4 linked regions of the Tribolium castaneum genome follow. The main gene of each other region encodes a partner of the protein of the gene in region 3 in a complex. Links are inferred from orthologs where the notes say so. Each region holds a gene or a part of one and is shown on either strand. Other genes may lie near its edges.

Evidence for each region. The genes of interacting proteins can lie anywhere in the genome.
Region 1: mdlc (region 3) and spliceosome-associated protein CWC27 homolog share a complex: the UniProt entries of both Homo sapiens proteins name them as parts of the minor spliceosome. The link is inferred for Tribolium castaneum from reciprocal best matches to the Homo sapiens genes RNF113A and CWC27.
Region 2: mdlc (region 3) and SmD2 share a complex: the UniProt entries of both Homo sapiens proteins name them as parts of the minor spliceosome. The link is inferred for Tribolium castaneum from reciprocal best matches to the Homo sapiens genes RNF113A and SNRPD2.
Region 4: mdlc (region 3) and RING-type E3 ubiquitin-protein ligase PPIL2 share a complex: the UniProt entries of both Homo sapiens proteins name them as parts of the minor spliceosome. The link is inferred for Tribolium castaneum from reciprocal best matches to the Homo sapiens genes RNF113A and PPIL2.

Annotation. Positions count from the first base shown.
Region 1 is NC_087396.1:19,898,686-19,902,448, forward strand, and holds spliceosome-associated protein CWC27 homolog, read right to left. Parts: upstream 2,401-3,763; 5' UTR 2,297-2,400; coding exon 2,255-2,296; intron 2,205-2,254; coding exon 1,663-2,204; intron 1,617-1,662; coding exon 1,507-1,616; intron 1,454-1,506; coding exon 1,240-1,453; intron 1,192-1,239; coding exon 750-1,191; 3' UTR 711-749; downstream 1-710. Other genes in the region: transmembrane protein 209, read right to left, coding at 1-87, 137-274, 323-336; uncharacterized protein LOC658443, read left to right, coding at 3,358-3,412. UniProt on the Homo sapiens protein: As part of the spliceosome, plays a role in pre-mRNA splicing. Probable inactive PPIase with no peptidyl-prolyl cis-trans isomerase activity. As a component of the minor spliceosome, involved in the splicing of U12-type introns in pre-mRNAs.
Region 2 is NC_087395.1:17,190,627-17,192,996, forward strand, and holds SmD2 (probable small nuclear ribonucleoprotein Sm D2), read right to left. Parts: upstream 1,192-2,370; 5' UTR 1,092-1,191; coding exon 735-1,091; 3' UTR 711-734; downstream 1-710. Other genes in the region: Vps51 (vacuolar protein sorting-associated protein 51 homolog), read left to right, coding at 188-300, 346-454; serine-rich adhesin for platelets, read right to left, coding at 1,952-2,047. UniProt on the Homo sapiens protein: Plays a role in pre-mRNA splicing as a core component of the spliceosomal U1, U2, U4 and U5 small nuclear ribonucleoproteins (snRNPs), the building blocks of the spliceosome.
Region 3 is NC_087396.1:11,857,714-11,861,014, forward strand, and holds mdlc (E3 ubiquitin-protein ligase RNF113A), read left to right. Parts: upstream 1-1,378; 5' UTR 1,379-1,400; coding exon 1,401-1,518; intron 1,519-1,610; coding exon 1,611-1,825; intron 1,826-1,880; coding exon 1,881-2,353; intron 2,354-2,396; coding exon 2,397-2,574; 3' UTR 2,575-2,618; downstream 2,619-3,301. Other genes in the region: Syx16 (syntaxin-16), read left to right, coding at 1-304; vih (ubiquitin-conjugating enzyme E2 C), read right to left, coding at 494-914, 967-1,070; probable chitinase 2, read left to right, coding at 2,893-2,971. UniProt on the Homo sapiens protein: Required for pre-mRNA splicing as component of the spliceosome. As a component of the minor spliceosome, involved in the splicing of U12-type introns in pre-mRNAs. E3 ubiquitin-protein ligase that catalyzes the transfer of ubiquitin onto target proteins.
Region 4 is NC_087395.1:15,994,674-15,999,189, reverse strand, and holds the start of RING-type E3 ubiquitin-protein ligase PPIL2, read right to left. Parts: upstream 3,011-4,516; 5' UTR 2,896-3,010; coding exon 2,864-2,895; intron 2,810-2,863; coding exon 1,852-2,809; intron 1,812-1,851; coding exon 1,660-1,811; intron 495-1,659; coding exon 305-494; intron 257-304; coding exon 117-256; intron 70-116; coding exon 1-69. Other genes in the region: Ubc2 (ubiquitin-conjugating enzyme E2-24 kDa), read left to right, coding at 3,736-4,198. UniProt on the Homo sapiens protein: Has a ubiquitin-protein ligase activity acting as an E3 ubiquitin protein ligase or as an ubiquitin-ubiquitin ligase promoting elongation of ubiquitin chains on substrates.

The sequences.
Region 1 (3,763 bases), about 8.0 Mb from region 3:
TAGTACAAGAGATTTATGCTTACTATCAGAACGAACGCATATTTGATATAGTCGTAAATATCAGTGTACAAAGGACATGAATTTGCTCTAAAAACACAGTTATGGGAAAAAGAAGGTTAAGTGAGCAGTTTGTTACATATCATAAAGAAGGACTGCAAGTATAAGGAGGTTCACGGAGCCCCAGATGAAGCTTTTACGCACAGTTCGCCGTGTTTTATTCACGGAAAGGCTCCGTTCTAGTGCAAAAGAGTTGTTTAAAACGTTACGATTTGGTCTAAAAATAATCAGCTGTTTTTCTTAATACTGATGGTTTTTTACTTACGTGCACACACTCATGCTTCTCACTATTGTCTATTCACGTACACAAAAGTTTCATTAATTTTTCATACTAGTTTAACATCAAACACCGGTCCCACAAAATTAAAAACGTAACCTCAATTCCGAAAACGCGCGCATCTGCTCATATAATCCTACGCGCATAGAGTCTTATAATATGTAACAACTAAAATAATAATTTAATTAATTAATAATAATTTATTAATTTAACACAAACTATAGTAGAGTCATTAATAATACTAATGTGATTGTTATTAAAGCGAGTGCTAGAATGGTAAAATGTAGGTAAAAAACTCGAACTTTACGTTTATTTGAAGTTTTTGCTCTTTGGAGCCTTTGCTACACCAGGATAAGGCGGGAAAAAAAAGGTCGCATAAAATTACAAATCTTTATTTTTAATATAGCAAACAACACTATTTCTTGAACTTCTCCACGGTTTCTCCACGTCGTCGTTTATTCAAAGCGTTTCTAGGATCGTAAATTTCAAACCAATCGTCATCTTTTCTATTGGCGTCTTTTGCCAAGACTGGGTTTTTGTCCTGGAAGCACAGTCTGTGCTTCAACCACGCTTGTTCTTCCTCATTGTCTTCTTCATTCTCTTCCCCGTCTTTCATTGACTGTATCTTCTTTTTGAACTTTTCCAACAAATTCAAAGTGAACTGTTCTCTCCCAGCTCCCTTTTTAGGTAATGCGTCTTTTTTATTTTTGTATTTATCGAACTCGTCTTTGTACTCTTGTATTGTCTTGTCTTCTTGGACCTTCTTCTCGGTTGCAATTATGTCCTCTTCCTTCTTTTTCAACTTATTTTTATGGTATTCCTTTTTAACGTTCTGGATTTCTTTTTGGATCTCCTCACTGTAAATAAATTAATCGAAAATAGAAAAATAATTAATAGTCACTCACAATTGTTTTTTCTTTTTCTCGCGCCTCTCTTCCTCTAGGAATGACTCATATGTATCTATCGGTTCCGCCGTTGTTGTGGAAGTTGGTACAGGTTTTTTGTGTTCTCTTTTTAGTTTCTTTCTGATGCTCTCTAACTGTTCTTCTGGATTAACTTCTTCCACGTCATCATTCTCCTCATCTACGTCCTCCGTTTTAGAGCTCAATTTGGGATCATCTTCAATTAAATTTAATTAAAACATTTCCACACCAATTATTTGAACTGTGTACCTAACACATCGTGTGTGGATTTGCCTTTGCCCACAAACTTTTCATTGACCCTCGTTGACTCTTCCTCATCTTCCTCAGCCTCTTCCCCAAACGACAATAACTTAAAATTCCTACAACAATGATTTTACAACAAATTACACAAAATATTTGACTGACTTGACTCCTGGCTTTTTCTCTTTCTTTTTCTTCTCCTTCACCTCAACCTGTCTAAGCCTGGGTTGGATGTCGGCAAATGGATTGTTCAAAACTTCCGTTTTAATGATTTTGTGAGGGTAGATCGGCCTTTCGTCCCTTATTAACCCATCCTCAAGCTTGAGCATATTAAAAATCGTGTCTCCGGTAATTTTCCCAAAAATCGTGTGTTTGTCTTGCAATTCGGGAGTCGCCCCCAGGGTGAAGAAAAACTGAGACCCGTTGTCGTCCTTGCCCCCGTTGGCCATCGCAAGCAACCCTCTTCGCGTAAAGCGGAGTCTTTGGTGAAACTCATCTTTGAAGGGCTCTCCATAGATTGACTCTCCGCCTGTACCGTCACCATTTGGGTCACCCCCTTGGGCTATAAAGCCCTTAACAACCCTGTGGAAGATAGTGTTGTCGTAATAGCCCTCAAGGCACAATTGTATGAAGTTGCGGCAGGTTTTTGGCGTTTCTTTTGCCCACAATTCGACGTCTATGTCACCAACTGTTGTTTTCAACAACACCTGAGACGAAAAATTTGATTGTAGTGTTCGTAAGACGAACGATTAAATACCTTTCCCGAAGTTGGGGGCTCCAAAATATAAACACTACTCATTTTTAAAACTTTAGAATGTTTATTATATTTTGACAAGTGTCAAAGAATGAGGTTAAGCTACGAAGTTTGGTTGTGTTTAAAGTGCCAAGCTTCGCCACCTTAGTCACAATTTAAAATTTGGTTTTTCAAATTTTGTTCTTAAAAAAAATACAAATTCAAAGTCATGGTTTTGTGTATGAATTGAGTTCAGTTTTTTTCAAATACTTCACTGTTTTAATTGTTTCATAACAATTTTTTTTTCAATAGGATAAATAAGGAAATAAACGAAGGAGCGCCAGATGCTATTATTATCTTTTTATTTTAAGATTTGAATAAATACGTATAATAGTAAGAATTGCGCGACAATAAAGAATTAAAAAAACAATGAGGTCAAATTTAAATTTTCTGGAATTGGACTTGAACTTTCCCCTTTATCGTTAGTTTTCCACATGGTGACAGTGAAAAATAATCGGAAAGTGAAAACTAAAACAGATTAGGCAGTAACTAATTGTTGTTTATTTTGTGTTATACTTATGATATCAATATTGTCTGTCTATCGCAGACTTATCTAAATCAAACGTTCTCCAGATTAGAACTAAACGCTTGTTGAATTAAATATATTGTCAAACTGTGTTAGCTTAAAAGTGAACTCGAAATTCAAGTACTTGTGTCCAACTAAAATTAGAATTAGTTCTCGACTAAAAGCGGGGAGAATCACCATTGAGCCACAGCGCGCGTTTCACGCAAGATAAAGAAATCCAATGATAAAAGTTTACAGAAAATTCTCACAGATAAGTGTTGGTATTATAAATATGAGTATACACCTGTCTGCGAGGACTTCCTAAACGTGTGAATATTATGTTATTGTTGTTTGGTCGCGGAGAGATATGTTGGAGTCTGGAACTTTAGTTGAAGGTAAATATAGCTGATTTATTTGCCCAAATGTTTAGAGAATCGGCTCAAATTGTTATCAATTTAATTAACATAATATAAACAATTTCGAAAATTTGTTATTGTTATAATTGGGTCAGAACATGCAATGAACTTGGACTGTAAAGAGCGTTTTTGTGAGTGTGTTTGCAATGGAAGTATGTGGCACAAGTGCGATACAAATGAAAATTTTTACGGTTTTACAAGGTAATGCGCGAATTTTTTCGGCGGAATTATTCTCCGGACTTTGGCTTGACAGGTTGGCATTATTTCAAGAGAATTATTTTATTGTGCGTTTTAAAATTAAACTCTTTTCTCATAGCATTGTCTTCGGACGAGTTATCAGTCTTATCGCCCAATTAACATGCATATAATTAAACTCATTCTCATCAAACACTATTTTGTTCAATATAAAGTATTTCTTGGAGAGAATTAAAATCGTTTTGTAGCATGTTTGAAATGAAATTTATTTTTTTATTGTACATATTTTACGGTGTTTAATTGTTTGTATTTACGGCTTTTTGTTTTATTTACGACAACGTAATATTTATTTTTTAA
Region 2 (2,370 bases), on a different chromosome or scaffold from region 3:
TTTTCCTTTAATTAACTTAACATTTGACAATGCAAAATAAATGTTTAATTCTGAATTAAATTTTACTTGCGCTTTCTGTAAACTGAACTACATCTAGTTGGCATTCCGATAATTTACAGCAGAGGCTAGTTTATTAAGGCATCATTTTGTGGAGGGTTGAAGCATTTAATCAAAAAATAATTTCTAGACGTTCATGGAGTGCGTACGTCTGAAGACTTTTAGTAAATTTGGCCTCCAACAAATTCAAGTGGACACGCATTACTTGCAGTTGTATTTGTGGCGATTTGTTGCGGATGAAAAGTACGTCACGAATTTGAATTTAGTGAAATTAATTGAATTTTCCAGCTTGGTTCATTTCCTCCTGGATGAGATTTTGGGATCAGCAGTCCACAGGTGCCTGGAACCGATTTTAATGGAACCAAGCGTTGTGGACATCATATGTGAAAGGGGTTAGGTCATGCAGCTTGCATAAGTTACAAATATTTATTATTCTTTTGTATTATCTTGTTTAAATAAAAAGGAGAAATTTTATCACATTTTGTTGTATTATTTTTATAGATAAATGTTAAAAAACCGTTCAATCTTTCATTTGCAACGACATGAATGTGATATTTCCACAGTATCACGTTCGCGGTATCAATCAACCGCAGAACAGAAGGACCACACGAGTGAAGTGATAGGTAAGTGAATTTCCTCAATAAACACTAAACTGAAGATACAAATTTTATTCCTAATTAACCACTAGCCGTAGCTAGGGGGTTCCTTACAACTATAATAACCGCATCGCCTCGCAGAAACATTTTCGAAATGAACCGATCCTTATTTACCGGCTTGGCTTTCTTCTTCCCCTTTCCAGGCCGGGGCAGCTCTGTCCACATTTCCTTCACATTCTCCAACACTATGTTGCAGTGCCGATCGAACGCCTTCACCCGCCCCAGCAATTTCTTGTTGTTTCGGCAGTTTATCAGCACCTGAGTGTTGTTCTTCACCGACTGAGTGAGCACCGAAAGGGGGCCCGTGTTGAACTCTTCCTCCTCGCGAGCCTGAAGCTCCTCGGCCGTCATTTCAGACTTGGGTTTCGTTAAAGCCATTCTGACTCGGTTTTTGCACTTAAAACAACACTTTTTCCGGCACAAAAATAGTTAGGTTAGGAATTTGAGCGTTTTGGATGCGTTTGGGGAATTTTGCAATGCGCATGCGCAAACTGGGTTTAATACTATGGCGGCAGATTCAAACATTTAAAGTGAAGAAAACAAACTTCGAATTAAATCAACAATTATTCTTCTCACATTTAAAGTTACATTAAGATTACTCTTTTGAATAATTAATTAAGAGTTTTAACATACTCAAAAACCACGATCTAAAAACTAATTACAAAATCGAGCAAATAAACCAATTTATAATCCATTGAGATGAAGACGTTAAATATAAGAGCAACAAGCTATTAATGAATCAGATAGGGGAATGCACCGTTTATTATAATTTAACTAGAAAATGTAATAAATATTGCAAATACGAGTATTGCAGTGCATTTTTCCAACGAAGGGAGTTTAATTCCCAGCAATTTGTTAGCCCCAGAATCGAAAATTAAATAATTACGATAAACAATAATCACTCTTTATTTATAGTAAGTATAACAATAAGAGATAACCAGTGCAAGTAATTATTCCAGCAGCGTGTTTATTTAAGTATACAAGCAATGCCAACGCAAATAATAATAGAATAATCATTAAAATGCAGTGAGGAGCCGATAAACCACCCCGTCCCGCTATATAAATTAAATACTTGAAGAAACGCACCAGAAGAAAGCCTCTTGTCCACCCGGTATTAAGTAGTTGCGCCGAAGGTGATGTTTTTGAAATCTCCTCGGTCTGGCTGCTTTATACCGCATGGATGAAAATCACCAAAAAAAGTCTGTTTTCTTGTCACACGTTGTCAGATTTAATAATTCTTAATTCGACTTCCTCATTTGCGGCGTTTCCTGTCGCCGCCCGTCTAAGGTCCCGCATTTGAGGCTTCGTTTTTCATGAGTTCGGTCTTCGTGTGCCTACCTTAATTCAATTAATCAATTGACCAGATGAATGGAATAAAGTTCATATGTTTGACATCGACGATGAACATATTTAAATCTCGTTAGGGGCCACTTCGGACTAAATAGGATAATAGCCGATGCTTACGGCTGCTTGCTGAATGCCTCTTGTGTCGAGATACACGCGCTGTATTCAATGATATTGTTTGTGTTGGGCAATTTTCTATTTTTGACGCAAGTGTTTATAAGAGTGGACTTTTGCTCAGGTAATTTTTGGGGAAATGTAGAGTAGTTCTATGTAGAGGAGTTTGATTTGGAAATGATTTTCCGGGCGTTTATAC
Region 3 (3,301 bases):
GCTGGAGGAGGAAAACACGCGGTTCGCGCAAGAGCGGGAGCAAGAAGTGAACGCAATTGTTAAGTCCATTGTTGACTTGAACGAAATTTTCAAAGATCTCAGTCAGATGGTCGCCGACCAGGGGACAGTTCTGGACAGAATTGACTACAACGTGGAACAGACGCAGATCCAGGTCTACGAAGGCTTCAAACAGCTGCAAAAGGCAGACGCTTATCAGCGGAAAAACCGCAAGATGTGCGCGATCCTTGTATTGGCTGTAACCACAATTATTTTATTTTTTACCTTGATTATCGTGAAATCCTAGTCGTGATAACGTATTTTTATTCGCTAAGCCAAATATTTATTTATGTAAATAAATTATTGAAACTTGATCGTTTTATTCAATCATAACACACGAGAAATAGTAAAAATTATATAACACAAATATGTACGCAGTCTATTATTACACAATGACATCTTAAATAACTGAAATTTTTCTAATGCGAGATCAAATTTAGACTTCCTTGTACGACTCTAACACCAGCTTTTTGTACTCTTCTTTTTTCTTCCACTTGTCGGCGGCCGTCGTGTTCAGCGGACTCCTCGTGTTTGGTTCCCCTAACAAGGCCTGAATTGATAACAAAATTGTTCTAACGTCATAAAGCGCCGACCACTTCTCTTTTAAAATATCTAAGCAGATGTTCCCACTGGTGTCGACGTTGGGGTGAAAGCAAGGCGTGATGAATTTTACTACGGGGGCCGCGTAGGGGTACGAGTTCGGGAATTGTAAACTTAGTTTATATTTTAAACTCTCATAAACCGTGTCTTTGGGCCCCATTATGGTACCTACCCACTTGAACAGGTTGTCGCCCTCGGGAAACGCCGAGATGCTCTTGTCTTCGGACATCATCAAAGTCATAAGCTCTTTGTGCAATCTGCAAATCGAACAAAGATTAGCACCCCAATTTAGACTCACTTTTTGCCCACCTTTTTGTCACTGCGTGATTATCGTTCGATACCTTCTTGGAACTTTCGGCCTGCTTTACGTTCTCGGGCACTTGCTCCACGAACGGATTGAAATTTTGGGCCATTTTTACCACGTTCACTAATAAATTATCCTAATTCTACTTTAATTGATTTGTAGAAAATTCGTTACGATGCAGATGGATGCCAAACGTCAACGCACTTTCAAATTTAGCCAATCAGGAACCGTCACCCATAACTACCAACAGAACCGCGAAAGCAATTAACATTCAAGCACTTGCTATTACCATTATGACGCACTAGGAAAACGTGTAATTACAAATTCAAATTAGATTAAATTGCTTTGGCTCAAGTCTAACACCACAAAGGCGTTATTGAGTTTTGAAATTTTTGATATTTTGTTTGGCGTCAGCACTGACACTTGACACTTGTCAAAGATGGATGATCCGCGTGACGTTAAAACAGGACTTGATGAAAGTTGCACTTTTATATTTAAAAAACGGAATATAAAAAATAAAGGGGCGCGGAAGCGCCAGAAATCCAGTTCGGAAGGAGGTGGGTACCCCAAATCCGTGAATTAACCTTCACTGTTGTTGTAGACTTAGTTTTCGTGTTTTAAAGGTTATGTTTGTTTGCGATTTCTTCAGAAAAGTCCAACAGTGAGGACGAATCTGCGGTGAAGCGGGCGAACCGGCGTCGGGGAAAAGCAAACCCCAACTTCCAAACCACAAGCAAAGCCAAACAAAAAGAACATGAGCAGCAGAACTACTCAAGCAGTGAGGAGGAAATTATGGTTAGTTACAAGTCCAAACGGTCCGCTATGCCTGAGGGACCTCAAGATCAGGGAGCGACGGCGACTCTTGTAAGCCACTTAACCACTCACTAGTATTATCCAATCAATAATTATTTAATTAAAGGAGTTTGAAACTGAGCGCGATCGTGACGCCCAAGCCATTTTCGAGAAGCGGCTAGAAATTAATAAAAATCTTGAGGGCAAGGAAGACGATAAAGTCTACAGAGGCATCAACAACTACGCACAGTACTACAAGCCCAAAGACACGGCTGCGGGCAACGCCAGTTCGGGAATGGTCAGGAAGGGCCCCATCAGAGCCCCCGCAAACCTGCGTGCCACCGTCCGGTGGGACTACCAACCCGACATTTGCAAGGACTACAAAGAAACAGGCTTTTGCGGTTTCGGGGACAGTTGTAAATTTTTGCACGACAGGAGTGACTACAAACACGGCTGGCAGCTTGAGCGGGAATGGGCGGAAGGCAAATATGGGCAAGAAAGCGACGAGGATAAACAATACGAGATTGACTCGGACGAAGAGGATTTGCCGTTCAAATGCGTCGTTTGCAGGGACAGCTTCGTGGACCCGATTGTCACAAAGTAGGAGGCACCTTTTACGAGTCTTTATTACAGTTAATTTTAGGTGCAAACACTACTTTTGCGAGAAGTGCGCCCTCGAGAGGTACAAGAAGACGACGAGGTGCTTCGTCTGCAACACGCAAACGAGTGGCGTTTTCAACCCCGCGCGGAAACTCATAGCGCGGCTGAATCGAGAGGATAATCCTAAGAAAAAGAATGACTCAGATTCGGATTCCGATTAATGTTTTTGTAAATTGTGTAATAAATAAACAAATAAAAAATTGAACTGGTTTTATTCCAATCCCACACGTGAAGAGGCGAGTGAGACAGAGAAGACGCTACTTCTTAGTGAGGTGCGGCTTCTGAGTGAAAGGTATAGTAACAGTCAAGCGGGTAACCCCCAACTGGACACATTCATTGTATCTTTCTCTGTCTCAAAAGTACCAAAAACGCGCGCGCGAAAGAGAAAGCTGCTACCTTGCCATTATAACTGTAATATATATTGTACAAGAAATATAAAGTTCATCTCTCATTTGTGCAAAAGTTGCGAGAATACCAAGATGGTATCACTAAAAAATGTTTGTGCTGTTTTTGTGATTTTCGTAGTGACTTTCATGGATGAAGTTAAGGCCCTTACTGGTAAGGAATCCAATTGGTTCCTAATCACCGTTAATTGTTTTTCTAATCACCGAGTTATCACAGTATTGTGTGGTAATGCATTATGTTAATAAGATTTTTATGTGACACAACAGTTAAATAAAAACCGTACGGTGAAACGATGATATTTCGCTAAAACCTTCAAAACTGTATAATGAGGACCTCAATATCTACACTCACCGGCTCGTTTTGCATTAATTTATTAATTGCGGCGTCCTGTTTATTTTTCTTACCAGCACTTTCAATTTATCGCAAAAATGCCAGTTGATCTTTTTATTTTAATAACTGGTTCAATGATGCGTGATGTAAATT
Region 4 (4,516 bases), on a different chromosome or scaffold from region 3:
AACGTAAATTTCATTTTTTTCTTCTTCTTCTGTTGCGGTTCTGTCAAGTCACTCTCATCAAGGGTTGAACTACAATAAAACAGATAATAAGTGTTACCAATACGTAATTAAGGCACCTTTTCACGTTATCAGGATTGATATATTTCCCAACACCACTTTTATACACTTTTAGGGTTTTTTGAGCTTCCGCTTTACGTCTCTTCGCCTCTTCTTCCTCCTTCTGTCTTTTCAATTCCTCTTCGCGTTCTTTCGCCAACTAAAAATTGACCAAAAATAACACATTACAACAGAATAAGACAATCACTTGTTCGTCCGCCTCTTCAAATGGATTCACAAAAACTTGCGCCCTTATAAGCACAATATCCTCAATGGGCTTATCCTTATTGTCCACTTCAATTTTTTCCATTTCGTTTAAAGTCTCCATGCCACCAACTAAACGACCAAAAATCGTGTGCTTATTATTCAAGTGCTTGCACGACCTGTATGTTATGAAACTAAAAAAAAAAACAATTAAATTTTTGATTATTGCTCAGTGGCTGAGTTTGAAATTAAGTTGGCAAAACTGGACGTTGGCATTTCCCGTTATATCATGAAAAATACTTCAGTTTGTGTATTCATTAAATCATTAAAAGTTTGGAAAAAGTATGGGGAAAATTTACTCATTTTTTTTGTAAAAAATAAAGTTATGGCTACGGATATAAACAAGTTAGGATATGAAACGACATACAAATAAAACGTTCCTGTATTCGATAGTTCCGTTAATGTCGCCAGAGAGCGCAGATGTTCCATTACCGTCTAAATTTTCAGTGCAATGAATTTGAAAAAATGGTTGTGTTTGCATAACGGTTAACACATGACAAACAAAAAAATACAGGCAGATAGAGCATTAAATTCGCAATAGTAGGACATAAACGTAATGCAAAAATTTTATCTTAAACTATATTAAAATAAAAACTTTTACCAACTTGCACTCTGACTCATATTTTTGACAACTCTGCAAATACGGTTACAGATGCAAGAAAAATGTTAGAAAGATAATTGTAGACAATTAAATTTCCTACAAAAAAGTCCGCGGGACTATATCCCTATCTTCAACCATTTAGGCCCCAAAATCGCCCAAAGACGCTCAAGCGACGAATTTGCTTCATTTTGCCAGTGGTCAAGTATTGAAAAGTTAGTTTATAACCAAACCGTTTAAAATAGAAATATGGTGTCGTGGACTTTTTTGTAAAAAATTTAATTCTCTACAATTTTGTTCCTTACACTTTTTTTGTATCTTCAACCGTATTTGCAGCGTCTTGAAAAATACGAGACAAAGCGCAGATTTAAAAAAAAATCACAAACATTTTAGTCGTCAGTTTTTCTCAGACTTAAGGGTGCAAAGCTCAACATTGGTTGAATTTAAATTAATTTAAAACGATTTGGCGCCGAGACAGTATAACGCTCAAAGCGCCCTCATTTTTAGTCCACCGTACTATTTTTTAGGTTCAGAAAATCCTGCGATTTCATCTCCTAACTTATAGTCCTCCCTAGTTATGACATAAATGAGTTTTTTTGTCACTTTGACATTTCAAACGACAATTGACTATTAAAGTTAACATTTGACTGTTGCCATTGTTGCCAACTTAACTTCAAAGTCAAAGGCTGCGTAAAACATACAACTGTGACCCATTTGTGTTTTTCCCACTGTTGGCCATAGACAAGACCCCTCGCCCCACATGTTGCAAATTGGGCCTGAATTCATCAACGAATTTCTTCCCCCAAATGGATTCGCCCCCAGTCCCTGTCCCCGTCGGGTCGCCCCCTTGAACCTACATTTCGTTAGTTTTAGCCCCCATGATGGGTCCCTACCATAAAATTCCGAATAGATCTGTGAAATTTCGTCCCGTTGTAATAGCCACTCGCACAATGCCTGATAAAATTCTCCGAAGCACGTGGCACTTCGTCGCAGTAAATCTCCAAGTTGAGGGGCCCCAAGTTCGTGATTAACCTCACATAGCCTTTTTTCTTGACTCTGTCGTATCGCACCTCATCTTCGTGCTTCACTGCGGCTTCGTGCACCAATCGGGGGACCATCGCTGTTGAGGTGAAACTCGCAGCCACAGCCCCCGTTGAATAATGGGCAGCGTTGAACTTGTCCGCCTTTTCCTTAACTTCGACTTTGTTTATTTCAATTGTTGGCTCTTTGTAGTCCCGTTTTAGCTCCTCAAGGGTGTATTTTGTTTCAGGGTTCACGTTTTTCAAGTGGCCTTGAGGGTCGTTCTTCTCCTTGATTTCCTCCTCGGTTTCGATTCGTAAATTGTTTTTGACGTGGTGGAAGTTGGAAATGTTGAACTTATTTAAGTCTAGTGGGTCCTGTAACATGATGATATCCTTGCGTTCGAAGGGCGTATCACTGATTAAGTCCTTCCAGTTTTTGTTCTTAATATTAAGCTGTTCCACTGCTTCCATCAAGTACACGTTTCCAGTGGTGGCAATCGCCACAATGTGGGAGCTTTTGGTGAATTGTTTGTAAAGGACGGGGCACTCAAACTCGCCTTCTTCATTTTTGTGGAAATTCAACTGCACCAACGACTTGAAATCCAGAGGCTTTCCCGTGACTGGGTTTATCTTGAACTTCTTCAAAAAGGGGAGCAAAGGCTCCAAATCAAAAATATTGCCGTCCAAGTCACAGTAGGGTATTTCCCACGGTTGCAACGACAGGCAGCAGTGGTCAAACGGGAGCCGCTTAAAATAGTCCTCCTCCGCGGTCGTATAACCCGATTTTTTGCCCCCGTAAAGAGTGGTCCACTCTGTGTACGTCAAGTACCTTAAACAAAATTGCGTTAATTACGCACTTGAAACTGATTTTGGACAGGTCTACATTTTGTCTTTCTGGTGCTGGCGCTTCCCCATTTTGCTGTAACTTGTAAAGAGGTAAAATTAAAAAATATAAATCACACGACTTTGAGGTTAGCTCGCTGTCACAACAACAGGTAGACAACACGCGCACTCTTCATGCCCCTAGATGGGTGCAAAGGATTTTGAATTTTTTAAAAAATAATCCGCAATTTTTTGGTAATTTTCGGCGAGGTGTTGGCGACCGACGCCCTGGGGGTGTGGCACAGGGCGGTTTTGTTGCAAATAATCGAAATTCAGGTTTTTGGGCTGTGCAGTTTTTGCATATTTCCGGTAGTATGGTGGCAGGCCTGAGTGCTCAGCGAGTACGCCATGAGCCGATATTAGCAAAAAGGGAGTGAATTGTTTTCAGTTTTTAGTGCAAAAATTAATACAAGTAAGTGTAATTGCTGCTGAAATTTCCCGTTCAATGCCAGTTTCACGTTCCTGAAACTCGATTAGGGCCGTTTATGCGCGTATTAGCCGAGTAGGCGCTGAAAAAAATCGTCAACTTGTGCCGTAAATATCGCCCAATAAAAGCGATATCGTATCGAAATTACAGTAATTTCGGGTTCGGCGTTGTGTTTTAATCGATAATTATTGAATTCCGTCCCGTTTTTCCCAATTTAATGGAAATTTACGGCTTGTGTAATGCTTGAAATCAAAATGGCCGACTTAGCTGACAGGAATCAATTTTGGTTTTGAGAAGGGTCGCAATAATCGGTTACCTGTCCCGGCGATCGCAATCAGACATTGAACCCCATTGTTGCTTGAGGTGACTCTCTCGCACGGTCGCCCGTCAGCCCCCGGCGAGCGCCGGGAGGAACAAAGAGGTGATTTTTTGTTTTGTTTAGCTCGATGTCTTCAGCTGGGTCTAGCGGATCAGGCCGTGGTCGAGGCGGTCAAGCAGCAGTCGGTGATCAAAAGGAAACAAAAGAATCAAAGCCTAACCAGAAAATGTCAAAGGCCTTGGGCACATCAGCGAAAAGAATCCAAAAAGAACTAGCAGAAATCACGTTAGACCCGCCGCCGAACTGCAGTGCGGGCCCCAAAGGGGAGAACTTCTACGAGTGGGTGTCCACGATCCTGGGCCCCCCGGGGTCCGTCTACGAGGGCGGCGTCTTCTTCCTGGACATCCACTTCTCGCCAGAGTACCCCTTCAAGCCACCTAAAGTCACGTTCAGGACGAGGATCTACCACTGCAATATCAACAGTCAGGGCGTCATCTGTTTGGATATTTTGAAAGACAACTGGTCGCCCGCCCTCACCATCTCCAAGGTCCTCTTATCTATCTGCTCCCTACTCACCGACTGCAACCCAGGTGGGTCAATTTCTCTTAATCGTAATCGCAACAAGTAAAACAATGAATCGCATTTATTTTTAAAATTCTTGTTGGATTAAAAACGTGCCAAATAGTTCGTAGACCCGCAGCGAGCAGACAAATATTAGACCGGCGTAGTCACCGGCATGTTTTGAATATTTTTAAAGGCACGCGATGAATGTAAATTATGCTAATTTCCTGTGAAAGATTTTGATGAAAGTTGGAGAAATTTTTGCCAAATAAATTGCATCCTTGAACTCAAAAAGTTGCTGATTTAACATATCAATCAATGTGAAATACAGTTACGTCGATTAATGA